4 linked regions of the Lepisosteus oculatus genome follow. The protein of the gene in region 1 purifies or fractionates together with the protein of each later gene. This does not show direct contact. Links are inferred from orthologs where the notes say so. Each region holds a gene or a part of one and is shown on either strand. Other genes may lie near its edges.

Region 1 (7,914 bases):
TCCTTTTTTAATTTTAAATCGCCAATACTAAGTTTGACAAATCTAAGATTATTAGAAGTTTTTAATAATTTTACAGCACCTTTCTTACATTTATACTACTGTAAGAATTGTCATTGCTATTTTTTTGTTCTGTTCAATGAAAAAGGCTTTAAGATGTAAGCTTTTAAAGGAGCTGTATCTGAAATTTTAATTAAATCAAATCCTTTATTATATTTAAATTCAATCAGTTTTTTAAACTATAACCAGGGACAAAAACATGTTTTGCACCATCAAATGTGAAACATACCATGTTAAGACAGTCGTCCAATAGCATATCACCCTTCTTCATTCAGTTTTAAGTCTTCATTATTATTGTTGGTCTGGGTGGACCACCTCTAGAAAAACTGCAGTGCAGAATTGGATGGGAAAAATGTGTGCCTCTCCAAAGGTGGATGGTATCTATTGCACAGACCCTCAGCTAATAGAAAATCACCTTGTTTTTGTCAGATAAGTGTCCCTGTCAAAACTGCTGGAGTTTATAGAGCACCTCCCATTCCCAGACTGGGACCATGCAGTGAGGGTGCAGGGAGTGGTCTAACTCCCCTCCTAACCAAAAACAAAATATCAAGTAATAGGTTTATTCCATGCTGAAAAAAAGAAGAAAGAGAACACAACGTTTCGGCCGTGGAGCCTTCTTCAGGTGTCAAAATTTTAAAAAAGAGTAGTCTGTCGTTAAGAGAAGGGGGAAGGTGTGATCCTAGCTGCAGGATAAGTTTGGTTTCGGTAGTCTTACTGATGAATGAGTTCAGAAAACCGTCTTTGATAACACAGACGGAGAGATTAGATTGGTCAGGTGTCACACCTGAAGAAGGCTCCACGGCCGAAACGTTGTGTTCTCTTTCTTCTTTTTTTCAGCATGGAATAAACCTATTACTTGTTCCTTTGCAGCCTACGCATGCTGACGCAGCTACCCACCTGAACAAAAACAAAATATGTGCCTCTCCAAAAAATACGTCAAATCTATTCTACAGACCCTCAGCTAATAGTACATCACCATGGTTTTATTATGGTTATTACCTCTGACGGCCACGACCAATCTAATCTCTCCGTCTGTGTTATCAAAGACGGTTTTCTGAACTCATTCATCAGTAAGACTACCGAAACCAAACTTATCCTGCAGCTAGGATCACACCTTCCCCCTTCTCTTAACGACAGACTACTCTTTTTTAAAATGTTCTCCATTCATAGGTGTCTCTATGAATTGGCTACATTACTCTGCTCTCCTCCCCACTGATAGCTGATGTGTGGTGAGCGTTCTGGCGCACTATGGCTGCCGTCGCATCATCCAGGTGGATGCTGCACATTGGTGGTGGTGGAGGGGAGTCCCCATTACCTGTAAAGCGCTTTGAGTGGAGTGTCCAGAAAAGCGCTATATAAGTGTAAGCAATTATTATTATTATTATTATTATTGGAAGTTTCATTTCACACCTCTCTACACCTATTCTGACTTCACACCTCTTGATTGGCCTCTCTTTCTGTCCCCTGCTCCCGCCTCTCACTCCTACTCCCTCCCAGCCTTTGTTCTCCCGCTACTTTACCTTTGCTTACTGCCTTGTCTCTCTCACACCTGAAGAAGATTATATTGCCGAAACATTGTGTTTCCTTTCTTCTTTTTCTTCAGCATGGAATAAACCTATTACTTGTTCCTTACTATTATTATTATTATTAGTAGTAGTATTAGTATTAGTATTAGTATTAGTATTAGTATTCAAATAATTATTTATTCAAATTATTATTTGAAGTTATTATTCAAAGGTTACGAAAGGTTATTATTCAAAGATAAGTGTCTTTGCTAAACCTGCTGGGGTTTATAAGACCACTTGCTGTTCCCAGACTGGGATTGTGCAGCAATGGACAGGGAGCTGTCTCACCCCCCTCCCGACCAAACCAAAATTTGTGCCTCTCCAAAAATACCTCAGATCTTTTCTACAGACCCTCAGCTAATAGTACATCACCATGGTTTTGTCTGATAAGTGTCTTTGCTAAACCTGCTGGGGTTTATAGAGCACCTCCCATTCCCAGACTGCGACCGTGCAGCACAGTATGCACAGTATGGATGCCTGCAGAAGTGATGTCGATGGTATTAATCTAGATGGTAGCTGTTATGAGAACACCCCTGAAATTAAAACACACAAGATAAAGCACCCAGACGGTACTGGGGACCCGACACTAGGTTGAGAGCACAGTGGTAATTTTCCAAAACCAGCTATAATAACCCAGCAAACTTTACAGAGATAATTTTATCAAAAAAAGCCCAAAATCACACTTTTCCCTTTCCCAGGAACTGCCTTTGCTGCCTTAGTGCAGCATCTCAAGGGAAGGTCCTTCAGGAAGTATACTGTACATGGGAGCATGTCTTTGCAGCAAAAATCAATTAGACAAGCCAATATTGTGTCATAATGTTTACTTCATGCAGGTTTAACAACTGTATTAGAAGATATATTAGAAGCTCCATAGTGTTGCTCAGAGCATGACTAAATATTTTCAATGGGGACACTATGGAAAGCTATCTCAAAAGGTGTGGGAAAGCTGTCAATGGGACTGCACAGGGCCATGAATTAAGGTGTACTTTAGTTTGGGCCAGTTAAAGTCATGTTATGATGCAAGCTAGTGAACTCATGAACTCTGTAAAAAGCAGTATAGTGGAAAGTGTCAAAGACACAATGTTGGCATGTATATCTTCAGTGTCATACTTAATTCCACGGGATTAGAAGACCTGTCCTCTCATATTTATGACACCTGCATTTTCATGGGTAGTATATGCATTAACACACTTGTCACAGAGTCTATTTCCAATCTCAAAAGTCGAGTATCACAACAGGTGCTGTGGACTCAAATGTTGATTTTGGATGCATATAGAATTTGAATGATTCAATGTCTTCACTGTTTAAAAAAAAATTACATTAAGGCAATGGCAGATATAAACACACAGGAGAACAAAGGGTCCAATGCCTATTTTGGTTCATAACATTTTTTTTGGAAAAAAAAATTGTCATCAATCCCCATATGGACAGACATACTAATAGGCAGATTTCAGCAATACCACAAATTTCTGATGTAAAATCAGAAATGAATGTGTGGAAAGGTTAGAAACTCTTTAAAAAGCACATACATAAAACCCTATCAAGACAATCAAAAATTTTTAGTCTAAATGATAAATGCAAAATTGATGGTCATACAAATGATTACAACAAGCCACTTACCATTAAACAGTGGTCTGGAAGTAACGATTGAGCTCTTGTCCACAGACTATTGTAATTCAGATTCCCAGAACACATTCCACTGAGAACTGCAATTGGAATTGGAAGGTGTTGGTAAATTGCGATTTACTATTAAATCAACAATATGCCATGAAGGAAAGTCTATAAACAGAGATGAACATTATTGGGCAGCACTTTCATGCATTGGACAGAAATTTAGAATTAAAGCAAATGATCAAAACCCCAGGGGGAAGAGTAAGGAGCCCTTTGTTTCTAAGAGATAAAAAGCCCTAGACAGGACAGAAAATAAATCTTTGACAGAAGAATTTTGTTTGGCCGTTGGACCCTGGAGAGGACAAAGACACCATGGATTCTACAGGAATTTGCTGAGGAAGGCTTTGGCATCATCTTCATTCCCCCTACCTGACATTGGACTTGGTAGCAGGGGGGGCCATGAAGGAACTACATTGTTCATGAAGGGCAGGACTGGAAAAGTTGCCTAAGACCCACTTAGAGACAACACTGAGTTTCATCTCTTTCCATGGTGTTATGGAAGAAAGTAGATGACCGAAGCTAGTTTCAGAGAAAACTACTACTGGACCTCTCATTGGAGATATATGTTGATAACTGGATTAGGTGGGGTTTCTTTGTACTATTCTGGAAAGTTAATGTGGGGCCTATTTAGCACCCTTTGTATGTAGTTTGGGCACAAAAGAATAAGTATTGTTTTTTTAGGGGTCACCTGTCCATGACAATTAATTATTTCAATAGTCACTATTATTTTGAAGAAACAATAACAGCTGTTCTAATTTACATGATCTTTCTGTCAGTAATATTAAGAATCTATCTGTTAACAGCTATGGTTAACTACGTTTTAAACGTTTTATAAACTTTGCATACATTACAACACTCCTGAGTGTTTGAGGCTCACTGGAGATTCATTGATGTATAAAGCAAACTACTTAAAATAAAAAATAAATATTATGTATGACATATTAAAATGAAAGCATACATAATTGACTTCTCATTTCTTAACGTCTTTGCAGTCAGGCCATTTTTTCCCTGAAAAATCAGAAGTTTATTCTGCGAATAACAGCGTTCATCCCCACCACCAGCAGGATGTTGTTACTATTTAGCTCTGAACAATACATTAAACGTTAGATAAATAATTAGGCTATAATATTGTTTATTCGTTAGCTGCTAAAAGGTCAGTTCTTTAATTATGTCTTCATTAAAACATTAAATCATTTTAGCATTGTTTAGAATGGTAGTTTTTAATGTAACTGTCTTTAACTCTGAAATTCTCGGAATAACGTTTTTATTCTTAAGAAACATTTTATCTTGATGCAAAATTATTTTCAGCTGATAGGGCAAACTTTGTACACAATTAAATTAGTGTTTTGTCTTAATTTAGGTTGTGTACTGGACATCGTTCAATTGCGCATGGTCGAGCGGCGCTTTACAAGCCCACATATTTTAAAATGTATCGCTAGAAGGAAGTAATTTTTCACACTGTAGTGTTACAGTACGCCCATGTCTTTCAGGGTTTCCGGTAACACAAGTTCATATCACTTGAGGCGCCTAGTTGTGGTAGTCGTCACTGGGAAATAATATTTCCACGAGGGAATGAAAGTAGTTTAGGAGAGCGTTTCGGTGCTGTACGGAAAGAGATATGTCAGTGGGTGGCGCTGTGACGGAGAATGCAGAGCGCATTCCTCCCCCCCATGAAAGGAAGAGATTTTACAGCAAAACGAGGGTGTGGACCTCGGGGGACGTAGTTGGGTTGAGTGTAATCGTCCACATAATCTGAGCGAAAAACCCCTTTATTCAAACGTGCAGGTAAAAAAATACATGACTCTTTGTTTTGTGTTTAAGGTGGGACATTTTCTCTGTGTTTTTATAAATGTTAGAGCTGTAACTTGTTTGCGTCCGGTTCAGAAAGGGTATACGGGAGCAAAAAAAACTTAGCTTAGCCTAGTTATTTTTTCCAAGGTGTGGGATGTTCATTTTCGTTTTTTTTAACGGTGTTTCATTATAAACCGTCAAAGCATTATTACTGTTGACATTTCAGGTCAAAATGATTCTGCTGAGGTTTTAAATATTGAAAGTTTGTTTAAATGCGCACAATTTTGTTTGAATTGAAAGCCGCATGGATATTTGCTGTCGTGGACAGAAGTCACCGCAGATAACTTGCGATGAAGTTGATGTATACTTCCTACAGGATCTATAGTTTATAGAAGTGGTGTTCATTGGTGGTTAATTTGCTGTGTGAAATAAAGACGAGCGAATGAGGATGTTTTACTTTTTATGATAATTAGGTCCTAGTCTGAAATTCTAATTTCCTGGTCTCCGTCACAGTTATGTGAAAGTGGAGTAAAGCTGGTTCCGTTCCCAGTTGTTTTTCGAGAGAGGGGTCAGCCTGTTTACCCTGCCTGGGTGATGAAGTGAGAGGTTTTGTGCTCCATGTTTGACGACGGAGCACAGTTAAGTTTCAGGAGAGTTTTTCCTTTAAGGTTTTCCCAATTACCAGGGCGACATTTGAATTTAATTGTCCTCAATTAGCTTTTAAATTTGTATTCTGCTATTTAATGGCATCTGCAACTCTTAGTTCTTAAACTGTTAAGTAATCTGAATCCACAGTATGTGCGTCGTAAACGTTAGCTAAAAGCTCTTAAGGTGTGATTCAGGTGAACGGCATTGACCCCTCCCTGTTGGACCAGGTTACCTCGGCATGATATATCTGTTAGGATTTAGAGGTAAACGCACTTATTATTCATCACTGCACTTCAGGGCTGTACTGTATCGTAAGAAATTTATTAAAGAATCGAGTGCACCGTGGTTACCCAGGTTTAACAGCTGCTGCAGCATTTTCCTTTTGAAAATCTAAAATCTTATATCGCTGCCATCAACCCAAAGCATTTTGTTAAAAGTACTCAGCCTCCACCAAGGTGGAGAAGCTTAAATCCACTGAAGAAGTGAGAGTACAGATTTTGAATTAACTTTCCTGCCTTTTGAGTACATGCAGCAGGTATAGAGAAGTTATGCTCTTTATGTGTAAATGGCTTATTTGATGCTCAGGTTTGCTAACTACACAATTTATTAAGGTTTTCTTTATGGAATCTTTTCACACTAAATCTTGTCATGTGTAGAAGCAACAGTAAATCTGTTGACCTGCAATTTAGTCAGTAGTGTTTTGACTTAGAAATATATACAGATAACTGTCAAAATAAAGGCAACACCAGGGCATTGGGCTACCGTGAACAGTTGAGAACAGGGTGAGGGCTGACTCATCTGACCATATGATTTTTTTCCCTGCTCAGTGGATCACCGTCTTTTGTTCTTTGCAATGCTTTAGTTGCAGAAGTGCATTTTAGGCCCTAAAGGGGTTACGCAACACAACCCAGCCTTAGTATTCCTCTTCGAAGTTCTCAACAGACTGTACTTGACGAAACTCAGACATACTTGTCTGTTTTGCATCTCGAACCAATGCAAGGACATCACGGTCCAGGAGTATGTGCTTTCATCCACCGTTGCCACTTGTTGATGAAGCCTTTCCTTCAGACTTCCATGCCAGCATAGCCATTGTTGAGCAGTCTTCATCACTAAAACTTTTGCCAAATGAACCCCAAAAATCACCTGTCTCTTGGTCATTAAGGTCTCTTATTCTAGAATAAACATAAAATGGAGAGGTATTGACAAATGCACAGAACATGGGAAGAATTCAATTACATTACAAACGTTACAAAGTTTCAATATGTTGAAATAATTTATAGTATCCTTGTCAAAGAAGAGATTGATACATTAAAAAAAAACAAAGCAAAAATGATTTAACAGCCATAAAGAGAAAAATGTGATCCCCCTTCTTGCAGATAAATGACAAAAAAAGATGTACCTTTCAGTCTTTAAAACAACACAACTTCATAGAATCAAGGTGATAAAATCAAGACAACGCAAGGGGTAGAGCATATGTAGATGTACATTTGTTTCTTATCTTTTTACTCTCTTAAATCAAGCAGTTTGAAAACAAAGGCACAGGCTGGGAATCTCACCATGTAAGTAGCGTTTAGGCAGGATTCTGATTTAAGAGGCATTCAGTCATAATCCCACAAATGGTTGCTTCGCACCATTGGCTCCTCAGCCAAGCAGATGAGCCAAATGTCTGAACCTGCGGTCCCTCTCTTACTGAGCAGGATTACCATTGCAACAACAGTTTCCTCTTCATTTTATGGTGATATGTGGCTGTAGCAAGTTTTAGAGTTTTTTTTAACCATACCCTTCCCTTACAAGCTATCTGTAATATTTCCTGTCAGAGGTCTTGACTTTGAAAACTTGCAAATTCATCTTAGCCCACAGTACCAGTTTTCAAGGGTCAGATGCAGGAAATTAAGGATATTTCTTTTCCACAGTACTGTGCACTTCATTGATGCAAGTGTTGTTTGGGGTTTAATGCTCACACAGGTGTAAGTCACGATGCACTTTATATATTACTTACACATGGCCATTAAGCTCTGACAAACATTCGCCCTTATGTTTGCAACCATTGAAAGTATTCAAGGTGGAGGTGTTTATTAATAACTATTTAATAATTCCTTGTCTTCTTTATTGTTAAAAAATAACACTTTATATTTAAACATTATACGGTGTTATTTACTTTTAAATAAAAAGATGGTACGCC
Region 2 (6,921 bases), on another chromosome or scaffold:
TAATCACTTTTGGATTGTAGCTTACTTGAAAACCTTTTGGTCAGGTAAAAGGCCCACTTATCTGCCAAACCCTTTGACACACTGACATTAAACGATTTCTCTGAAGGTAACATTTTTTTCATATTACGGTCAGATGTGAGTTATTAAAGCTTCACACCTGGAGGAAATTAATACTTCTCAATAAACATTTTTTTTAAATAACCATTTTTGACCACTTTCTTGACTTCAGAAGAAAGAAAAAAAAAGTGTCTTGAGCAAAGCTTATCATTAAGGTAGCTGCTGCTTTCTGTTACATATCACCGTCACTTACCTTTTAATCCTGTAGTGCAAGAGGTTACCGGTAATTACATCATCTCTACTTTCCTTCTGCTGTCTCTGGTATATACCCCTGCAAAGCTTTATTCCTGCTCCAGTGGGATTAAACCATCACCTGGCGGCTGCGTGAACTCTGTCACCCTCATCTCCTCATCTGAGGGATTATTTATTAATGTCATCATTCATGGATTTGATCGCCTCTAACGCAGTGAGAGGTAACAGAGCCCGGGGTGACATTATTTCCTCCATAATTTGCCAAACTAGTGGTTTGTGGCACATCTTGCTATCTTGCATGGTTAATGACCTTATTTGAATTTTAATTGTGATTTTTCCCCGCAGTATATAAGTCCTCTCCTTCTTTCCTAGAATTGTGCTCCTTCTTTCCCCATGTGCTCCTGTGTTCTAACTTAAGATCCATTATTTTACTGGGAATAGCATAAGTAGTAAATGAGAAATTCTTACAGTTCTGAGATGAAAAGAAATGTTACAAAATGGGACAAGAGCGTATTACACTTTTGGCCTTGTTTTCGGACAGCGGATTCATTTCATAAACAGTTGTTCAGCTGTCACATGGCCCCACAGACGCAGAGAAGACAACCAGGTTAGAGGTGTTTTCTAATTATGGAATGCTTTAGGAATGTCTTGTTTCACCAATTTTGCAAGTGACTCATTAAACACATAAAAGGACTTCAGATTGATGCTGCTCTGTGACAAGCAATGCACTCTACAAACTGCTGATCTCAGTGTTTCATGAACAATTGCAGCATTAATTCGTCATCTATCACTAGTTCTGTAATTACTATCATTATTTTGTTATGTCCATTTCATGTTCACCAAGACAGGGGTACTGTACTGCATATCACTGAATGGAAACACAAACATGTACAACACTATTTATGGTAACATGCGAGATAATTAACATTTTTATTACAACGATGCAGTGTGAAATGCAGTTGTTCTCTAATTACAATCATTTGGAACACAGTCTGTGGTATTAAATAAAATTAGCCTTCATTGCTAATATCAGCTTAGTGGGGTTTTAATTGGAGTGACCCAGAGTAAATCTTCATGCAGTAAAGAGCAGTTGTGACTACATGCTGCCATGATTCTGTGTGCAGGCACTTAAAAAAAAAACCTTGCTTTCCTAAAGCACCTGCTTGGGCCTTGTCTGTCAGCCGTACTGTCATCACTAACCATGAGGTGAAAAGAAAGAACTGGGTGCTCCTGTGGGCAGCTGGGGTTTCCAGACAAATGACTTCATTAGGAGAGAGACCCTCGGGTCTCTCCTGCATGATCTAACGTCAGCCTTGTACATTGCAGCCTTCAGGGGCTCAATAATCCCAGGAGGTCCTCGTTTCATTGGAGGTAAAGGGACAGAACAGCACAATAATGTTTTATAGATCAGCCGCGGATCCATAGAGCTTTTTATGGAGAGAAAAAAAGGAGAAAGCTTTTCACACGATTTCAATCCAGACAGTCTACACTCTCCTCCACCCAGTTCATGAGTCTGTGAAAGTAACTAGTGAACCGAGCAGGAAACAAGTCCAGGTGATGAGCGTGAGCTAAGTGGAACATTCAATAAAAATAGAGCTGTGCTGAGCTGCTTCCATTTTCTAAAGCCTGCCTTTTTACATTTTTCTGCTCACTGGAAGGTTTGCCGATACCGTTCTCTGCATTCATCTGCTATTTAGCTGCACGTTCTTGGGATGCAAAAATTGTAAAAAAAAACAATTAGTAACGACCTTTTCCCTATACAGCATTCTTTATTGTGTCTCAGATGGGTCAGTTAGGACGGGACCTGCAGAGGTGTCTGTGCATTTTGGAGAGGGGGGACAGGGTTTAAGTGTACTTTCATGAGTGCAAGAGACATTTTCAAGCACTTAGAATGGAGATCTTGAAACAGCTGGTTTATCACACTTTAAAACACGTGGTGGCTCTAGTGTAGCCAGTGAAGATGTGGTAGCTGGTAACCAGCAGAGTTTGATACCGCAGTGTGCAGAAGTTGTTCAAATCGTGTGCGAAAATATACTTTGACTACTAAATCTTGCTTCTTTCAGTGATCAAGTAAAGTATGTCTAGTTGGAAACACAATAAACTTATTGAAACTGTAAAGAGTTGAGCCTCTCAGGCAGAGCTCCAGGGGGAAAAAGTGCAGGAAGACTCTCTGTCATACCCCAGGTTTCCATGGTGGGGGAGCCTTTCAAGTCTTGAGTGAGAGGCTGTGGGTTCGAGTCCCCGCTGCAGACACTGCTGTTGTAGCTTAATGAAGAACTCTACCCCCAGTTACTCCAGTCCTTCCAATTGTAGAAGTGGGGACCAGCTGGTGGGGTAACTCCCTGTCCATCCATCTGTGGCAAGGAGTGATCATCTGCTCTATTGCCTGTTCAACACTCCTGAAACTAAGAAGAGCTCTTTTATATTACAATTGCACTCCAACATCACAGGAAAAAATAACTGCTGGTCATGGGATTAATTTAGTTGCTGTAGAACAGGAAGCTGGTATAAACCTGGTGGTTTTGTGTCAGTGGGAGTGGGGGTCTAGCAGGTGAATGAGCTCTCTTTAGCATCGGGTACACTATTTCTCTCCCATTTCCCCGATCCAACAGGGTGGCACTGATCCCTGTCCAACTGAACTCCAGCGTGCAGGTGTGAAAGTCACCCACGTGAATAGGGTGTATTTGAATGGGTCTGGGGACTGCAGCGACATGAGCTGACACTGATGTAATACGATAAAAGCGTTTACTTTAGCGCGCTGTTCCAGCACATTGCATTACATTGTTCCTGCACGCCAGCAAAGGGGCAATACACGTCAGGACCGACCGCATATGACCATTTCCAGAAAAACGAGGCAAGAAGTGTAAATACCTCCTAATTACATTTCGCGAATCACAGCGCTGTCGCGTACTTTTGACCCCGGGTTTATAACTACTTGGGTATCTGGAAAACAGCTTCTCGGTAAAACCTCGCAGCCTGAGCTGTAACATAAGCAAAGAGAAGGCTGACACCCGGCGCATAACTCTAGCTGGCTGTAATAGCATGACAGCATGACATTTGCGTTCGCTAATCCCAGCAAATGACCCCCCCCCCCCACCACACACACACACACCATTCTAGGTTTGAAGGATGATAGGAGCGAAAGTCTTTAATCACCTCCAAGGCCAAAAACGGAGGCTATTCAGAGAAAAATGGCAAACAAATTAAACTCCCCTGCCAAAGCATCTGAACTCGAGCTCCGTCGTTTCCCAAAACATATTTTTTTGGGGTCAGCGGCAGCACCTTGGAATTAAAACTGGAATCGACCCCCCCCCCCAGTTCAAATACATGCACATTGTGGCGTTGCCTGTAGATCTGCGAGTGGAGACATCTTATTGTGCCCCAGGGGAAGGCAGCGTGTGTGTGGAGGAGGAGGGGGTGGGAGAGTGCACGACTTCACAAAACCAGACAAATCGCCAAAGGGTCCCCCCCCCCCTTCCCCTGCGCCGAAAAGGTTAACGCAAACGCGTCTGCGTCACCGCTCCCGGATCCGAGGGGCGGCGTGAGCCGGGCGCAGCGTGGAGATCAGCTGATCGCAGCGAGTTTCAGAAAAGAAAAAAGACGGGCCGGAGAGCGACGAGAAGAGCGCACACACACACAGCCCCACCAGATTTCCGGACTCCCTCCATCCAATGAGCGCACTCCACATGCGGAGCAGGCGAGAGGGGCAGCAGCGAGTGAGGCACTTTCAATAAAACGCGAGTGGCGCTGGACGGGCTGAGCCACTGACGAGAGAGCGGCTGTGACACGGGCAGACGCGCACCCACGGCAGCCTGAGGAGTGCACTGGCCATTGCAGCGTGTGGCACGGAGGGCGACTGTTGCAGCCGGCTCCTCTGGGAATAAAGGAGACACCTTAAGCAAAGTGGCCTGGGGAGGGGATCGGTTGTTTTTTTTTTCTCTTTTTTAAATTTTAAGCGTGACTTAAGTCGGCAAAACACGCGCATCAAAAAAAACATTTTGGACGAGAAGCTGGCGGAGGGGGGAGTCACACACACACGCATCGTTTTTCTTCGTTCTCCATAAGTGCCGGGATTTCTACATAAATTCTAGATATTATTATTTTTTTTTCTCACCCCACCGGACGTTTTCTGTATGTAAACGCCTAGTTTTAGAGTATTTTACGCCTTTTTGTTTTGTTTTTTTTTTCTTCTCCTTCCTTCGCGAAAGGGACGTGCGGCGAAATTGACACGGACTGAAAGGTGGCCGAGTCCACAAAGTGAGAGAGAGAGAGAGAAAGAAAAAAAGTGTCTTCACAAGGGGAGCATTTCCACCATGGAGAACGCGCACACAAAGACTGTGGAGGAGGTCTATAGCTATTTTAACGTCAATGAGAGCACAGGGCTGAGTTTGGATCAGGTGAAAAAGAATAAAGAAAAATGGGGACCGAACGGTAAGTGATGCCGTTTCATTTCCAGAAGTCTTTTATGTATACAAATATGTGTTGGTTTTTTTTTTTGTGTGTGTGTGTGTGGGGGGGGGGGTTAGTGGTTTATTTTTACGCAACGCAAGGCCCGTCTTATGCAGCCAGGTTATAGTACAGTAACCGGCATGCTCAAAAATGGATAGTGAAAATGGCTGACGTCATCATGTACAACCTCGTGGGTTTTTCAATCCGTTCGCCTTATCGCGGGGGAAAGAGGGAAGCTCGCCGTTAACCTTGAATGCGTGCGATAACCGACCCGGTGGGTGAGAATCGGAAGATTTCGGAGGGGAGGGGGCTGTTCTGCGGCTGTTCCCCGGTTCCAGCGGGCTGGGGGGTTGGGGGAAAAGCCGGCTCAGGGCCTCGGACTCGGCTTCCCAGCTCACGTTTCTCCCTGTCTCGTCTCAAGCCCGGTGACCTAGCGAAAGCGCAGGTGAGGTGGGGGTTGGATGCGAACAGCTCCGGCCGCCTCTCGGCTTCATCTCACCGGCGGCGCCGGGCTGGCTTGCGGGCCGCCCGTACTCACTTCGCCCCTGCGCATGACTCGGCTGAACCAGCCCTGTGCATTGCAACACCGCCGATTCCCCGTGTCCTCGGCGTGGACACCCACTTCCTCGTAGCGACGCGGAGCACGGCTCGGCACACGCCTGCCACTGCGCCCGAAGACGCTGCGGGGAGCGGGGGGTCCTCATGCACGGCCGCCCTGGGTCGTGTTTCAAATGTCAACAAAGCGCACATCTTATTAGCGTTGCTGTGTAAACGGAGATTTTGATCTTTTGTTGCCTGTGTAACTCTCTCCTCTTCCTCTCCCCCCCCCCTCCTCCCCCGGTCGCTTTCTGGTTTGTTCCTTGGAAACACGCAACCCCAGAACTGCCAGCCGAGGAAGGTAAGCAGCACCGCCGTTTTATTAATATTTTAAAACCCCCCATTTTTTTTTTTGGAGGGGCTCATTCCGTTTTATTCCACTCTGAATTTGTCTGTTTATTCTGTCCGCAGGAAAATCTTTATGGGAACTCGTTGTCGAGCAGTTCGAAGATTTATTAGTCAGAATTCTTCTACTGGCAGCTTGTATATCCTTTGTAAGTATGCGCCTCGAAGCCTTCACCCAGTATCAGTCCCTTACAATTAAAAAAAATGAGGCACAGATCACCAAACTGTCCTGGGTATTTTCCCGATGCAACCTCCCGGCATGCTGTTGAAACTTACTTTGGCTGCCTTGCAGGTGTTTGACCTGAGCAGGCAGCTCTAAATGTTTCACTGTAAATGAATTGGGCCCAGAACTGGTGGACATCTTACTTTTTATGTTGAAGCAAATGCTGGCGTGCATAATTTGCATGTATCTGAGTGCAGTTTTACTTTGATGCTCTTTGCACCTTTTCCTCCTTGTGTAGGAACTCTAGAATGAGTCGAGGAGAGTGTAGTCCTTGTCTAGCTATCACTTATTAACTGCGCATGCTTCTTCCTGACAGATATTTGGGTATTCAGTTTAACCTCAGTACCTGGTTCTCGTCGTTTGCCTAAGGTCAAAAGGTCAAGTTCAGGATGGGCTCAGGTATGAGTTGTGTAGTTTTGAGGAGTAGTCCAGGATAGGAGGCCAGTCCTTTGCAGGAATCCCCCCCCCCAGCAATGCTGGTCCCTACTTCTACAGCTGGGAGGACTGGAGCAACTGGGGTCAGATACCTCACTCAAGTTGCACCAGCAGTGACTCGAACCCGCAGCGTGTCAGTAAAGAAGAAACACACCCACTCTGCTACACTGCCCTAATCTACTAGTAATTTATTTATCACAGCCTTTTGCATGAGTCTGGAAGGATACTTACTGTGGCGATGAGGGATTTTGTCCTTTGTTGAGATTTATTCTTATTTGGAAACTTCTGTGGCAGTATAGATTTATTGCTTAAACATCAGCCGTTCCTTATGCAGTCAGAAATGCCCAAATATAGGCCTTAAAACTTTTAAGCCTAAATCTTCGCAAGTTACGTTGTCCCTGAGTGAACTTTAAAACCTTTTTCCAGTGGTATGCCTACTGTAACACTGTAAACGTAATGTCACTCTAGAGAACCTGGTGCCATTAATGTGTTAGACCAGTTTCCAGTCAAGGTATTAAGATCCTAACCTAGTTTTTTAAACCGCCCACGTCTGTGGCTGTTAA
Region 3 (7,548 bases), on another chromosome or scaffold:
CTTGAACCAAAGAAAAAATGAAGCCAGTGAAAGTAAGAGAGAACCTAAAATAACAAAGAGATTATTAGGCCTACTGCTCAGCATTTCACAGTTGAATTTTTACACACCTTTTCAAATAAAATCATTAGAGAAAATGCATTAACTCTCCATCACCTCCAGATACTAAAACATGGGCTCACACAAATTCAGCTGTGTGCGAATGTCTTAAAACCAAGCATTTAAACTCTCTGAGGCTGGTGCATTTTCAATGATAACAAACAAATTGCCAATTGCAAGCACCTTTTATTAACTGATAGCTTTTGAAGAGCTTTTACAGGCCATAAAACATTTAAAACCACCAAACAGTAGGCCACAACTTTTTGACAACATATGTAACATTTACATATTCTTAGGTGAGATTAACATACTCTGAGAATTCAAACACAGTACTCACATTTGGGCTATATAACACCCCTTCAGATCACGATCATCTTATATGGATTGACTGTGGTTTCTTTTCACCTACACCTGACCTCTGAGGCAGAACAGACACACACAAGAGTACAACTTATTGGCGAAATTGTCCACTGAGGCTAACAATATTGAGATGAGTAGCACAGAAAGAGACAAAGCATGGAGCCACCTGTGCATCTGTAGTTATGGGTAGTGTTGATAACACTGCACAGCCTTTCACAACTAAAGAAGACAAAGCCCAGCCATGAACTTGAAGCTAAAGAACGGAGGCATCCAGCCACTGAAATAGAGTTCACACGGCACGATTTGTTGCAGTAGCAGAGTATTTTGCAAAGGGAAGGCAAAGCTATTTGCACTTTTACATTCCACTTGAAACAAGTCAATACAACAATATCTGTACAACAATACACAACAGACCAAACCTAAAAAAGCATTTCAAACGATCATAACATCGAAGATAAAACCTCAATACATTTATAACAACCCCCTACGTTTGAGAAACCAGATCAAATCACCAGCCAGCACAAAACCCACAATGTGACCAAATAGTTTCTGAACAGCAATAAGCCACTTCAGACAAATTCAATTTTCTGTGGTATTGTAGTCTAAAATTACAGAGACAACTATTCCAGATAAAGTATGAAAATAATATTATCTTCTCTTGCACTCTGCTAAGAACGTCTGGAAAAGCAGGGAAATTACATTTCAAAATTGTATTATTCTATTTTTATTTTGTTTTTACACATTGCGATCAACGTTTACTGTGAACAACCTCCTAAATCACTGATGTTCTCCGATTAAATACCAAATGTATCATCAACGTTTTGTACTTGCCTAAAAACTCAAAACAACATACTTATTCTTTGAAGTGGTCAGTTACCCAGACATCACCTTATTATTAAACATAATCGTAAATGATGTGTTTATGAATCTCTCGCATGAATCAAGCGACACTGTCTCTTTAAATTCTCCACTAATTACTAGATTTCACTGTATCTTCAACTTCACAAGGTTAACAGCATCATGACTGTGAATCCAAGCACAAATATAATATTCATTTGCACTCTACTTTAACAGAAAAAAAATATAAAGATCGTGTGTGGCACTCTAATGTAGAAATACGATTTGTTCTTAAAACAAGAAGTTAATAAAAAAGCACATTTCGAAAAAGGGAATTTATTCTAGTTTGTGTTTTCCGTAAACTTCATTAAAGTTACATTTGAAGTGAGACAAATAGTAAACACGGTATAACTTTCATTTGAATTTCTTGAAGTGATTGCTGTTGGCGTTGCACATAATGATGTTTCTTAAAATATGTTAGCCTATATAATGCACAACAACGAGAATAACCTGATTAAAACGTTTTTCCACAAACTCTCCAATTGCAAAGCAATGTGAATTTTTCAGTTTCCCACTGATAGCACATTACAAGCCTGACGGTCACGTTCAGGGCTTCGATAATTCATTTTCCGAACTACCAGGCAACACAAAAGTAAAATACTTTAACACAACAATGGGATAAAAACAAGCGTTTCTTTCAGAACTCCCTTCATTAAATTGGGAACTGAAGATTTTTTTTTCATTCTATTGAACACATTAAGATTCTGGAATACAATGTCTCCGCCAGTGTTTCACGACGCCTCAGCTTTTGTGGGCTTTGTTCTGCCGTAGGGTATTATAAAGATGAAAACGAAACAACGTAACTAATTTCGTTACCCCCCCACCGAACCAACGGCCCATCTCTGACCGATCCAAACTCGCAGCGCGTAACAAAACACCGACGTTTTGCATTAATACTGAAACCTATTCGGCTAACATTTCGCAGGCTAACAGGGCGAACTGTTTAGATCGCAGCTTTCACAAAGGCAAAGCACCAAGTCAAACGAAACAAGACGTTGTAATGCAGCCACTGGTAAAACTTACCCAAGTTTGAAAACTTCGGCTCCGCCATAACTAGAAGAAAAAGTGGAGACTCGGTGACATCATCATCATAGCTGCACATTCACAGCAGAAAAGAGCTAGTGTAGCCAACTGTTTTGATCAGTCCTCCAGATTAAACTGATCGTGTGGGAGGTCACTGGAAGAAAAAAAAAAGTGCCACGGTGTTTTTTTTTCCCCCCTTTTTTTTTCTTCGTCTTTTAGTTGAATTTTACGATTATAATGCGTTTCGCTCGGTTTTCTTCGTAGCCTCGCCTTTGATCCATTACACTGCTTTCTTTATAGATTTAAATAAATGCAACCACATACACACCTTCTGGGTGTCACATGGGAACGTGAGCTAAAAAAAGCCAAAACAATTTAACTGCTATGGGACTTTCTGATCACCAGATAATCACAATGGGCACTGCCCAAGTGCCTTTCCCAGATACATTTCAGGAGGCTGTGTGCATCGATCTGTATTTTTGAGTAGAGACGCCGCTATTTGCACATTCCGTGACGCTTTTGAGAAGGTTAAGGTTTTTGTGTTAGTCCAGTGCGCCTGCTTGACGCCAGTAACTGAAATTGGATCCCTGGGTCTTGACTAGCAAGAATTACAGCCATGTACCTCACGTTACAAGGTTTGGCACTGTACGCTTTGAGCGTCCTATTAATCTTACATTAGAGCTCAGTTTGCGGTACTAACCGCTGGGGTAAAATACAGCTAGCTGAAAAGGTTTTGCAGTACTGAAAATACTCACACAGAGCTGCAGCACATTCCCCAGAATAACTACAGTTACACATTGAGGGAGTTCTCTCACTGCTAACCTTTTGTTTGAAGAAGCAAAAACATCGCCGGGTATATTATTTGACTTCATTTTCATGTCTAATTATGGATTCTGATGTGCTGATCATACATCAGAGTACCCTGGGTTTTTTTTAGAAAGTTCTTTCCAAAAGTATTCAAAATTTCAAATTCAAATACCTGCACAAGTATTCTTCTACAATTCTTAATGAGTTATTGTTGCTATTTTTTATTTGCAATGAAAGCAAGAAAACGAATTTTTGTGTATGCCATCAGTCTTCACTTCTTTCAGTACTGTCTGTTGTGCATGAAACTATCATCTCTTCCATAAAACCAGTTATTATGGGATTTTTTGCAAGCAGTATGATTATATAAGTAGAATGGAAAATATTTTGATTTGGTATGGCACTTACTCTATTAAAACTAAAAAGCAGGTTTACATTTTTCTGTTAACTGCCATGAAATCACAGTTAAAAGTTTTCATGTACAAATCGATGAAACACTAAGCTACAGCAGGCTCGAAGTTTTGGGCACCTCCCCTATGCTGTAAATTTCCTCTGTTGAAGTTGCTCATTAAATCAAAAGAGATAGGAAAAGTATCCAAACAAAACTTTGTTTTTTATTTCAGGTTTTCTTTCTTACCAGCTCACATCACGTGAACATTTATCATTGATTTGCCCAGAAATAAACAATGGTTGTCTTTTTTCTACTAGCTTCTTGGCTTTACATTCAGTGAAACTCTGTGATGAGGTGATATAATTACAGCTTTGTTTTTAAAGCAACTGTCAATCCACGGATGTTTGAACAATGAAAACAGAATTTTGAAATGGCATTTTTCAAGTATTCATTTTCCCAACAGCGCCAGTGACATTATTAACAATGAGGTTTTGGGATATTTTTCAACTAGCTAATGTTACTGCTGTATGTGAGCGGATTCACTAGGAAATATTGAATAAAGAGTGGAGATACATTTGTACCTCCAAGAGCATTTGTGAGAGAATGTTTTGGAAAAAATAAAATCTCATGAAATTCTGAAAGGCCAACCATTCCAGTTCCTGTTGACTGCAGATACTGTATGTTTGATACGAGACTCACTCTTGACAAGGTGGAGATCAAACAGAGGTTTGGAAAACAACACTTGTGTAGTTTACCTGCTTTTACCCAGCACTTATTTACATGATATGGGCATGTCATCTTAGCTTCTTTGTCATTCCAGAGAACTAAAATTCAACCAAAAGTGTCTCTGTAAAAGTCCGTCTGTAATTCTGATGTGATATGCTGGACAAATAGCATATACTGGAAATTTTTAATTGGAAAAGTTCTTGTCAGCTTTCTGTCTTGGCCAAACAATTATTCTCTTGGTAATCTCAGCCTACGTAACAAAGTGCACATTTCAGCTTTGCCCAGTACAGATTCTGATATGTGGTAATAACTGATCTTAAAAATAAAAGAATGCAGCTAGGTAAAATCCAGTAATCTTATTAACGTAAGATGCACAGGTTATCTTAGCTTGTGTATGAACTAAGTGGAACTGGTTAACTGCACAAAAACTTCATCTTCAAAATTCTATACCTCTTTATAAGGTGTGTAAGATTGAGTAATCATAACTGAATCTTCCCCGAAGTGCTGTATGAACTGTACATTGTCCAGAGCGAATCACTGAAAAATCACTGAAATTTGACCTAAATGTTAATGCTGGCATGCTGCTCATATGTTATGTCTTTACAACTAACAGTTGAGCTACTTTCGTACAAATCCCCAAATCTGTAAATGCTTAAAAAGATCAACCTCGGCACAGCACACAAATAATTTCCTTACAACTCAACTCTGATCCATTTCTAAGGCTATTTTCAATATTTTTACATTCCGTCTAATTAAAAAGGCTACAAGCAAACCCTTTCTCTTACAGACGGTAATTGCCAATCATATTTCCTGACATGCTTTATGAAAGGGGGATTAACCCTACCCCGTCTTGCTTTGCTAGAAGACAGAAACTGGGTCATATAATGTCATCAGCAAACCACAATAAAGCTAAAGAGATGAAAACTGAAGTTTCTGCTACAAACAGGCCTGCAACCACAACACAGTAAAGTGAATAGAAGAAACCTCACAACTTGAAGCCTAAATGCCTTTGCGTCACAATTCATTCTCCAGTACTCCAATAGCAAAACTGGACTCAAAAGTGGGATAAAAAGTATTCCTCTGCTTTGTAGTTTGTGGGGACACTGAGCTGTATTTATTTTTCATCAAAAGAAAATCAGTAAGTTTCTCCGGCTTTGTTTTCACGTTACTTCTGACTTTAATGGGTTTGATAGAAATCATTTTTTGCAGTTGGGAAAATTCATGAGAGAATTTCAGACTTAATCTCCCCATGGCTGCCTTCCCATTCGTTAAAGGGTAAAATGCAGTAGCACGTTATCAGATATGCAATAGGCTGTTACTGTATGTGCGACGCATGCCTTAGAGGTTTCAAGGATGTTTGCTGACAGAAAAGGTTTGCTTTGGTTAACCTTTATGTTTAAATTCACTGACCAAACCCTTAACAAATGTATATTAAAAATTCTGTGTTCCCTCTAATCATCTATATTTAGTTTCTGCTGACGAGGGCACGTGCAGACGTTAGGAGGCTGTTTCCTCTCTTATTTCAGAGCTATGAACCGCACCTTAGGCTAACCCTCTGAATTTCCTTCTCGTGTTTTTTAGCCATTGCAAAGCTTTGCAAGTTTCACTACATTTCAGATTTTTCTGATCTGAACCAAAAGCACCCATCAAAAGCAACATTAAGCCATTTTGATCCAGGTAATCCAAGTAGGCTGTAACTTATTTCAGAACTGTCTAGCACATATGATTCTCTGTGAACTTGTACAATGTGAATGGATTATTTCTTGGTCATTTATTAAATGACACAGCTCTAAGCACCACAATGAGATGAATAGAAAGCAATTGCATGGCATCGATTTTGAATGGAGGTCATACATTTTGAATTTACGTGCTTTGTAAATGTCGTCTATTTTTAAGGCATGTAGTGCAATTACATGAAACAAACCTTCTTTTTTTGTAAAAAGCAATACATTATGGAGGGTTTTTAGTAAAACGAATTAACTCAGCCCTGCTCCCATCAGTTTTGTGTGACCTGTCAGCTATTGATCAATGGAGTAAAGAATCTAACATTTGCCTTTGGTCTAATATGAGGAAATAAAACAAGACCAGAATAGCTGTATTGAAAACTCAATATTTTAAAAGAGTAGAGGAATAAACCCATAGAAAGTAAAGAGTGCCACTCTCTGGCTGAAATAATAAAGTGCAAGTTCAAAATCTAAAAAGACTTCCCTGCAGATGGTAACTACATTTAGTGCTGATGCCTGCTGATAGGCCTAGAAATGCATTCTAGGTTCATCTCACCTGTACACCAAGACATTTCATGCCTTATATAACTAAGAACTAAAGGACACTTAAGGGTTTATAAAGCTATGGGGGTTGGGTAAGTGTTTTGAATATGGTGACCTACAGTATGTTCCTTACATCACTGTTTGTGGTTTAAAAATTACCTTTAAATGAACAAAAATGTATATGAAATATGTTAAGGTAAAGCAATATTGTAAGAATTATGAGTAAAAAGGCAAACTATAAATATTGTCCAAGTTACAAATGTGAGCTGTGAAAAAGACTATTGTACAAGTGTTAAATTTTTTAATTCTTGTATTTACACATCTTGCCTTTTTTCTCTGGTGTGTAATCTTACCTGTACTTAGTACATAAGATATTGTTGATTAGTTGACTCATTAAGGTATGTGCAGTAAAACAAATTAAGATTACACGTAACAAAAGGTTTTAAATTAAAGCTAAAAAATGTGTCACTTACTTTATTCCTTTCCAAACTCTCTGTTATTTCACTGGAGATTATATCCAGAGGAATATGAATATAGAATATAAGTTAACATTTATTATATTATTCTTCAGTCTTCGGTCTTTATTCTTAATATTCTTAACAATTTAATCAAAGGTAGAATTTTGCCAACACGAGCTATGATTTAGCATCATAGTTAAATGTTATTAGGGAGTTTGGAAAAGACTATTTTTAAGCAGACTAAATAGCATAATCTAATCTAATTAATATATCATGATATTAGATTCAAATTCTACACTTTCATACTGTATCTCTGACTCCACATGGGATGTACTGCAGGTCTATATTTTGAATGATAATTCATATATAAAAGAGTGCCCACTCTTTCTCTCTCTTAATCTAATTATTCTTAGTCTCCAAATGGTTTTGTAGTCATTTGTTGTGCAGTATATTAAAACAGTATATCCATTGTGAAATACAGTATTTTATCATTAAAAACAGAAGTGACCTTTCTATTTTACCCAAA
Region 4 (7,383 bases), on another chromosome or scaffold:
TTCAGTTCTCAAAATGCTTCGGTAAACTGGCTAAGCCTTCATCATGTAAGTCAATGAAAGCTGGCGCGGTGCACTGCAGTACATGGGCGAGACACCCAGCTGCAGCCTGTCAGTAGGAACATACATGTAATAAAACAGTCACGCCTACAGCTGGGCACCCCTATTTCCTCACACTGAACACAAACCGCACACTTACCAACCAGCACTTTCGCGGCAGGGTTGTCAACCCCAATAGCTTTCAGAATGGTGGCCCCGTCATTCGTAACTGTCACAGAGCCATCCCTTCCACTGCTGAGGAGAATCTTGTCCTGTATAGAAGACCACAGGCTCCATTAGAACAAGAAACGTCAGGACCCATCTGTCCACCACACCTGCTGGTTTTCATTTCACCCCACATTAATCAGATATCTGAAGCCTTAAGTGATCTAAGAATTTGCTTCATTGTAACATTTGCATTTTGTTTCTAGTCACAAGTTTGGGATTTTATTTCTCTTACTAGATACAGCTGTTCAAGCCCCAACACTTTTAAGATCAGGGAACAAAGAGATAAAATTAAGCTTATTGAGTCAATGAGAGGTTTGAACAAAATCCAGCTAGTGTGTGGCTCACCAGGACGAATCACTGGAATCACTGCTGTAAAGCATGGGGAGTGTGGATCATGCCCGAGTCGGGTCTAAAAAATGTGAGAAATAATTATGCTGCAATTATACGACTGCAAACAAATGTCCAAAATCAGCGCAAGTGTATCAGGACAGGGACACTGTGCTGTAGGAAGACATGATAATCTACTGTATAAGAATTTAAACTAAGAATAAGAATTGGATTCTTACGTTGAAAGTTGGATAAGAATCCCAACTATTTGGTCAATAAAAATCCCATGGCACCGCAAGGGTGTGTAAACTCTGGCCTCCTGGCTATACTCCACTCTGGGTTAACACAATCTGGCCTAACTCAAGTTTGCTCTTAAGTCAACTGGTCAACCAGCTCTTAACGTCTCCCACTGGTCTACAGCAAGGTGGGGCTACAGGTCCATCAGCCAGTATACAAAATACCTTCCAATCTTAACTTTTAATCCTGTAAATATCACAATTTGTACTTCAATGGGTGGCCTTTTGCATATTTTGCTTTGCAACCTGATTAAATACCAGGATGTTCTAATATCGCTGCAGTGACAGTGACACATTGCACTGCTTTGACATTTCATTCTGAAAGCTTCAATCGCTGAGCAGCATTAAATGTCAAGTATGATATTGTACTGTTGAATCATCCAGTAGTGAGCATGTTGATAGAGGGATATTGAACACAGACGTCTTTTCCATTTAATACACAGTCTGTGGAATCATTGATAACGACACATACCATTCCCTTCGGTCCCAAAGTGCTTTTCACCAGATCTCCAATGGCTATGGCACCAACAAAGGAAGACTAGAAAGGGAAAGAAAACACAGAAAAAAGTAACATCCTGAACTGGGATTCTGCACAATGAAAACAGCTGTGTGCGTTCTTCAGGTACCTGCTGTAAGGAGCAGCACTTACCAGTCGGGCTGTTTCTGCTTTCTCCTCATCTGCACCAGATCTAAAGATGTTCACGGGAGCCAGTGAGAGGGATGCCTGCAGAGAAACCAGGTTCCGACATTACTCAAGTTTTAAAGGTCTATTTAAACCTGTTATTATGTATTTACGAAACCAAAAATAATACAACTATACCAAAACATCATTTTCTAATAGTGGGCTGTAATTATTTACTGGCCGTCTTTTAAAGTACTAAAATACCAATCTGATTCACTGGTTCATTTACCACTGAGGTAGTACGTAGCGCACAGAAAGTGAAAAGCTACCTTTAGATGTACTCTGTGATGAGTGTATTCGACAAAATCACAGCCTCTAACATGCGTAGCTGTCTAATAACCGCGACCACTACCGAACACTCCTGGAAGCGCGTCTCTGCTAAAAACAATCGCCTCAAAACGACAAGCAAAGCCAAAACACGGGATTGTAGAGCAAAAGAGAATCACGGCGAAAACAAGGCAAACTAAAACTCGGGAAATAAATCGGCCTCGGAGAGTCAATGTTTATAAAAATCGCCAACGAGACAGAAAACAGCGAATACGCAGTATTTTAAAATGTCCCGTGAAGGAATGATCTCCCGAAGAAGTAGAACCTATTTTTCTGAGGCAAGTGCAACGTAAAAACAATGCAGTCGTTACAGAAAAAAGTAATCAAAGCGTATTTATTGAACTCCCGTTAATTCTGACTAAAGAGCATATTTCTCGCATTTTTCCCCCATTTTCAGCAGCTTCCTAGACCTTACATGGTACGATCGGCGCTCGCTAAGGTCCGCATCGCGCTGTGCGACAGTAGTCCCTCCCCTCCTAGAAACAACTAGAATCACGGCAGGGCCTCCGCTTTCTCACTTCGATGACAGTTATGCCAGATTGAATTCTCGGTCTTAATAACTCTGCCAACAGGCCGAGGTCTACAATGAAGCTGCGATTCAACGACTTACATTTTGATGTTCTTATAAAGGAATTCAGTGCGGCAAGGCCTACAATGAGCCGTGGCCCATCCATGATCTTGCAAAAACCGGTAGCTGCTTTTCGTTCATTGTAACCCTTCACGGCTGTAATTAGTGCACGCTTTTTTTCTTCTTATAAGGTTCACATGACGAACTACACCGTTAACCCAACTCTCCTTTGTGTGTACTTTGAGACAAGTTTTTTTTTTAAATCATCTCGGGATCTTTAACCAAAACCGAGAACAGCCTACAGGAGCCCATGTGCTTCCTTCCACGCCGAGCCGAGACCTTAAGTCCGGAATCTTACGCTGGAAAATCGACTCCAGAGCTACAGTGAAAAACTGGACTCTTATGACTGTAAATGAGTAGTTTTCAATCTGAAGATTTGATTATTAATTCATAAATGAAGACGCTTACCATCTTTCCGCCGGTACAAAGCACACAGCCACACAATCAACTGTCTCCTTGCGGCGGCAATGGCGTTTGTTATGACGTCACCGCGTAAGGCCTCGCCTCTCCTGACGCTGCGCGTATAAGCTTTAAGTGTCGATTCCTACCAGCTCAAAAAAGCTCTCCCGTTCGCTTAGATCACAAATTATATTCTATATCACGAGCATTACAACTGAAACAAATATGCAACGTCACCAGGAAAGAAAACGAGAATATATATATATTTTTAATGAGCCATTTTATATATTGAACAGGTATTTAATAGGCGAATTCATGATCGACATCGGTAATCAGCTTGGTTGTGTAACAAAAAGTGTACTGTAAAAGTCACAGGCTAGTGGCGTGTCTGGCCATACAATTGCTCGCTGAACAAGTGCGTGCCCGTTCGCAAGTCTTAATATTTCAAAATGTATTTTTATTTTATTCAAAACAGACAGACAGGTTTCTTATGATGTTCAGTGTGAATGCTTGTTAAAATGGAAGAACTTACTGTTGTGATAAAAAGAGGAAATTTGATATAGTGGGAATTTCTGATTATGCACTCATCACAATCACACGGAGCTTTTCTCAGCATTTCTTATGCCATTTACCTTTTCTGCATTTGCCCATAAGTATATTGAAGCTTTGTGAATGGTATCAACCCTGAACCAACGTCTGACATCCAGAACTGCTCTCATTCAGCCACTGCAGTTCGAAATGTGACCGACTGGGCCTCCGCAGAAGGAAACAAAACTTGGGACTGTGGGAGTGTCTCATACAGCATCATTCTGTTTATCAGATCATCAATTAGTAAGAACCTTTTAGTCAGAAATATGGAAAAAAAAAACAATCTAGCGAGAGGCTGTGTAAAGCTCTGTGTGCCGAGGTTGTTAGAAACAGGACAGCTGAAGTCGAGTATCTGTGACGTTCAGGACAGGCCACAGAAACAAGTATGTTTCACAAGTATGAAACAAGCAAGCAGATTGATGTAATCATCAGTTAGCACTGGAGATGTAGAGCTCACCTGGAATGGAAACCAGCAGACAGGACTCCCGCAGGACCAGTGATGGGGACTATTGTATTATTGTGCACTACTACTGATATTAGTATCAGTCTTGTCACAGAGGTCATGGAGCAATGCAAAGTAACCAGCACTTAGTATGGCAAATGAATAGCAGTTATCCCTGGGCAGGAATTAGGCTGGTGGAATACGTTGGCGATATCCTCTTTGCTAAATGTTTGTTTCTGCATCTCACTGTGGAAGCATTAAGGTCCCCAATATTCTAGATTGAATCTTCTGACGCTTTTGGTAACTAAATGGGAACTACCACCTCGAAACCTGATCATACAGACAGATGAGAGGATGAGCTCATGTTTGATGACAATTCCAAAGACGTCAATAAAAAGCGGGTCTGGTAAATAAAGGTGTTTAGCTCACTGTACAGTTTGTATTGGATATTAAATGATTCACTTGTGCTACCCAAGAAATTTTAACAGAGGATATTAGCTATTATTAGCATAATAACTTTGGTACATGATATATCACACCTTTAGCATTTAAACCTGTTAAAAAGGGCTGGTGTTTAAAAGCACTGTTATGTTATCAAACCACACATTCAGACACTAAAACTATTTTCAGCATTATCTTAACTTCTAATACAGGTGTATTTAAATTTATCACATTCATTAAGGTTCATTAAATCATATTACTGCAGCCTATGCTGAAACAGAGGCACAGGAATGTGTACATGCCCATGAAATATTTGTGCATCAAAATATGTAGATTACAGGAGAGAGGATTCTTTGAATTTACGATTTGCATCACTTCAAAAACTGGGTCAATTTTTGTGTTTTACAGGATTTTGTACCCTCTTGGTAAGAGGACCTAACACACTTAAAGACACACTTTTCCAACAAAAACATCACGTCACAAAAAAAACATTGTAGATTGTTTTTATTGCCATGCTACAAAAAATAATGTTGGCACAGATGGCATTTGACAAGATGTAGATATCACAAAATACACTTTTTTTCCTCATAACATTTGTTTTAAAAAATTGGACCATTCTGGTGAACCAATATCCATACCTGAAAAATGCAAACATCAAAATACATTTAAATTAAATGTTTGTACTTGACAGTGGTATAGCTCTGTGTGTGTTGGTTCATTTGGTGCATAGTTATTCTCCTGAATAACACAGGGAAGAGATAACAAAACAATTGAAGAGTAAAATTTTCACCTATAATGAACCCCAAAGGCATTTGTTCAAGGAACATCGTTTCCAAAAAATGGTTTGGCAAGGGTTTTTGTTTTAAACTACAATTTAATTGATTTAATAAACAAAATCTATTAAACTACTTTTATACACACTTCCTACATTTAGGCATTTTTATGGTAGGTAGAAAAACTATCATTTTTAATAATGCATGTTAGAACATATAATAAATCTTACAATATAATACAAGGTAACTGATGAAACATTTGTCTTGAGACTTAAAATACTATGAAAATGTCTGACAGTTTCATATATGGTAAACTTTTTTTTTTGCTGCCATTATCATTCCCATAAGGACACTTGATCTTACTGGTGGGTACCTAAAAGTCAGCCAGCAGACCTGCCAAAAAATTATTCATGATTTCTAGTTATGGATAAGATACAACGAATGTTTCAATTTAAACAGCTGCAATGATTTTATCAAAGCGTTTTTTCCAGCTTGCATGCAGAAGGCAGAATAAACATGCCTGCTTGTCCAGAGGTACAGAGAGAGTATTATTAGGTGGAACTCAAACACAATTGCTCTTACAATGAGAAAGCAGCCTACAATCTTTTTAGCACACATTCAGAAGGTAAATGTACCGTTTCCTTTCAAAGAATGTGAAATTCGGCAGATACGCAGTGGAGATGCACTGTCAGTAAACAAAATGGGTTCTTCAGGTACTGAAACTGAACAGGTAAAAAACCAACAGCATGTAATGTGTTATTCAAGAAAAGTGAATAGAAAAGTAAAATTGAAGACATTGCTGACTTTTACCAAGACACCAGTGGCGCGCCGTGACAAAACCAACCCGGTTCATATGGCCCATGCCTTCCCAGCTCGTTTAACCGTAACACATTCAGTGCAATAAGTATACACACCTACAAAATTAGATATATAACATTAATATAGAGACAGATGGAGAAAAACTTCAGTGGCGAGTCAAATAGAAATAAAAATGTTTTGAACAATGTAACATTTGATCCCGTGAAAGATCCAGCAGTACAATAATTTAATTCCACTTTAGCCGCAAGAAGTCTATCACCACCTTCTTCCAGCGTCAGCACAAGTATTCTTGCTGTATAGTATCTCTTTAATGACAATCTCAAGACAACTAATTTGCCATGTTTTATGAGCAAAAAAAAAGGGGAGAATTTATACAAGATGCTTCTTCTAACACGTCCTGTTCATAGTCTAAAACCTACGGATTAATAAATGGAATAATCCACACAAGGAGCACCTTTTAGAGTGGTTCAAACAGGAACTTACTGCAGACCGTACCACAGAAGCATCTCGGGTCTAACCAGGGACAGAATCCACCTTAACATGAGAGACTACAGCAACAATAAACCTGTTCTCCTTCTGGCTAAATTACATGGTAGTCAAATGGAAGTCACATGACAGAATAACCTGCGGAAAATCACTCCTGGCCAACATACAGATGAACATGACTGGCTAACCTTCACAGAAACTGCTGTCGTTCTTTTTAACTGCTGGCTATTGTTTTACAAGTGAGAGTGAACTGATGTTCAATTTTAGATCACGAGGGGCCACTTGGAGAGCAATCTGATGTCCTCAATGGCAAGACACCGCTGGAAATGGGACAAAGATGATCATTAAATCTCATTTTGGAGATTTTTTTCTTATTCCACCAAATCACAGAGTCACCGAAAAAGGAATGTTTAGAACAACCAACCCCCACCCCCAGAAAATATCAGATCATCATAGAATAAGATAGTGTTACATGGCAAGTACCTGGTCTACTTTAATTCCCTTTAAAGTCAGCACAACGTACAGTGTAAATCCATGACTAGCTTAAAGTCTCCAAAAGCTACTGTATTTGGAAAAGAAAGTAAAATATATCTGAAGCCCTTCTGTCCTTAAGAGTTTTGTTTTTATCTGGAAAAAAAGGTGCAACTTCACACAGTGCTATCTAGGCTCACATAGGCAGGTCAGTACTGTTGTGTCGTGTTTTCCTTGAAGTACCATCATCGCGTGGCAGTGCCTTCTGCAAACTAGACATGGCAGCAGTCCGCTCGATGTCTATCACTGCATACAGTTCTGTTCTGCGAGTCGGAGTCTGTGGGAGAGGGGTAGTGGGGGTTTTGGGGGTCTGAGGGTTATCTGAATCACTGCCTCTCTCCATCTCCACCTCAATGTAGTTGAGCTGTCTGTGCTCCAGA

Evidence for each region.
Region 2: the proteins of ilk (region 1) and sarcoplasmic/endoplasmic reticulum calcium ATPase 2 purify together in Homo sapiens (affinity purification with mass spectrometry; 3 studies listed by BioGRID and IntAct, with this or other methods). This does not show direct contact. The link is inferred for Lepisosteus oculatus from reciprocal best matches to the Homo sapiens genes ILK and ATP2A2.
Region 3: the proteins of ilk (region 1) and raf1b purify together in Homo sapiens (affinity purification with mass spectrometry; 3 studies listed by BioGRID and IntAct, with this or other methods). This does not show direct contact. The link is inferred for Lepisosteus oculatus from reciprocal best matches to the Homo sapiens genes ILK and RAF1.
Region 4: the proteins of ilk (region 1) and cct2 purify together in Homo sapiens (affinity purification with mass spectrometry; 3 studies listed by BioGRID and IntAct, with this or other methods). This does not show direct contact. The link is inferred for Lepisosteus oculatus from reciprocal best matches to the Homo sapiens genes ILK and CCT2.

What each region holds. Positions count from the first base shown.
Region 1 is NC_090700.1:23,031,255-23,039,168, reverse strand, and holds the start of ilk (integrin-linked protein kinase), read left to right. Parts: upstream 1-4,902; 5' UTR 4,903-5,078; intron 5,079-7,914. UniProt on the Homo sapiens protein: Scaffold protein which mediates protein-protein interactions during a range of cellular events including focal adhesion assembly, cell adhesion and cell migration.
Region 2 is NC_090717.1:10,109,560-10,116,480, forward strand, and holds the start of sarcoplasmic/endoplasmic reticulum calcium ATPase 2, read left to right. Parts: upstream 1-3,916; 5' UTR 3,917-4,622; coding exon 4,623-4,740; intron 4,741-5,638; coding exon 5,639-5,656; intron 5,657-5,766; coding exon 5,767-5,849; intron 5,850-6,921.
Region 3 is NC_090699.1:62,314,024-62,321,571, forward strand, and holds the start of raf1b (RAF proto-oncogene serine/threonine-protein kinase), read right to left. Parts: upstream 3,009-7,548; 5' UTR 2,705-3,008; exon of another isoform or gene 2,531-2,704; 5' UTR 2,377-2,530; intron 1-2,376. UniProt on the Homo sapiens protein: Serine/threonine-protein kinase that acts as a regulatory link between the membrane-associated Ras GTPases and the MAPK/ERK cascade, and this critical regulatory link functions as a switch determining cell fate decisions including proliferation, differentiation, apoptosis, survival and oncogenic transformation.
Region 4 is NC_090702.1:23,374,646-23,382,028, forward strand, and holds the start of cct2 (T-complex protein 1 subunit beta), read right to left. Parts: upstream 3,022-7,383; 5' UTR 2,936-3,021; coding exon 2,933-2,935; intron 1,612-2,932; coding exon 1,537-1,611; intron 1,426-1,536; coding exon 1,360-1,425; intron 309-1,359; coding exon 197-308; intron 1-196. Other genes in the region: frs2a (fibroblast growth factor receptor substrate 2a), read right to left, coding at 7,140-7,383. UniProt on the Homo sapiens protein: Component of the chaperonin-containing T-complex (TRiC), a molecular chaperone complex that assists the folding of actin, tubulin and other proteins upon ATP hydrolysis.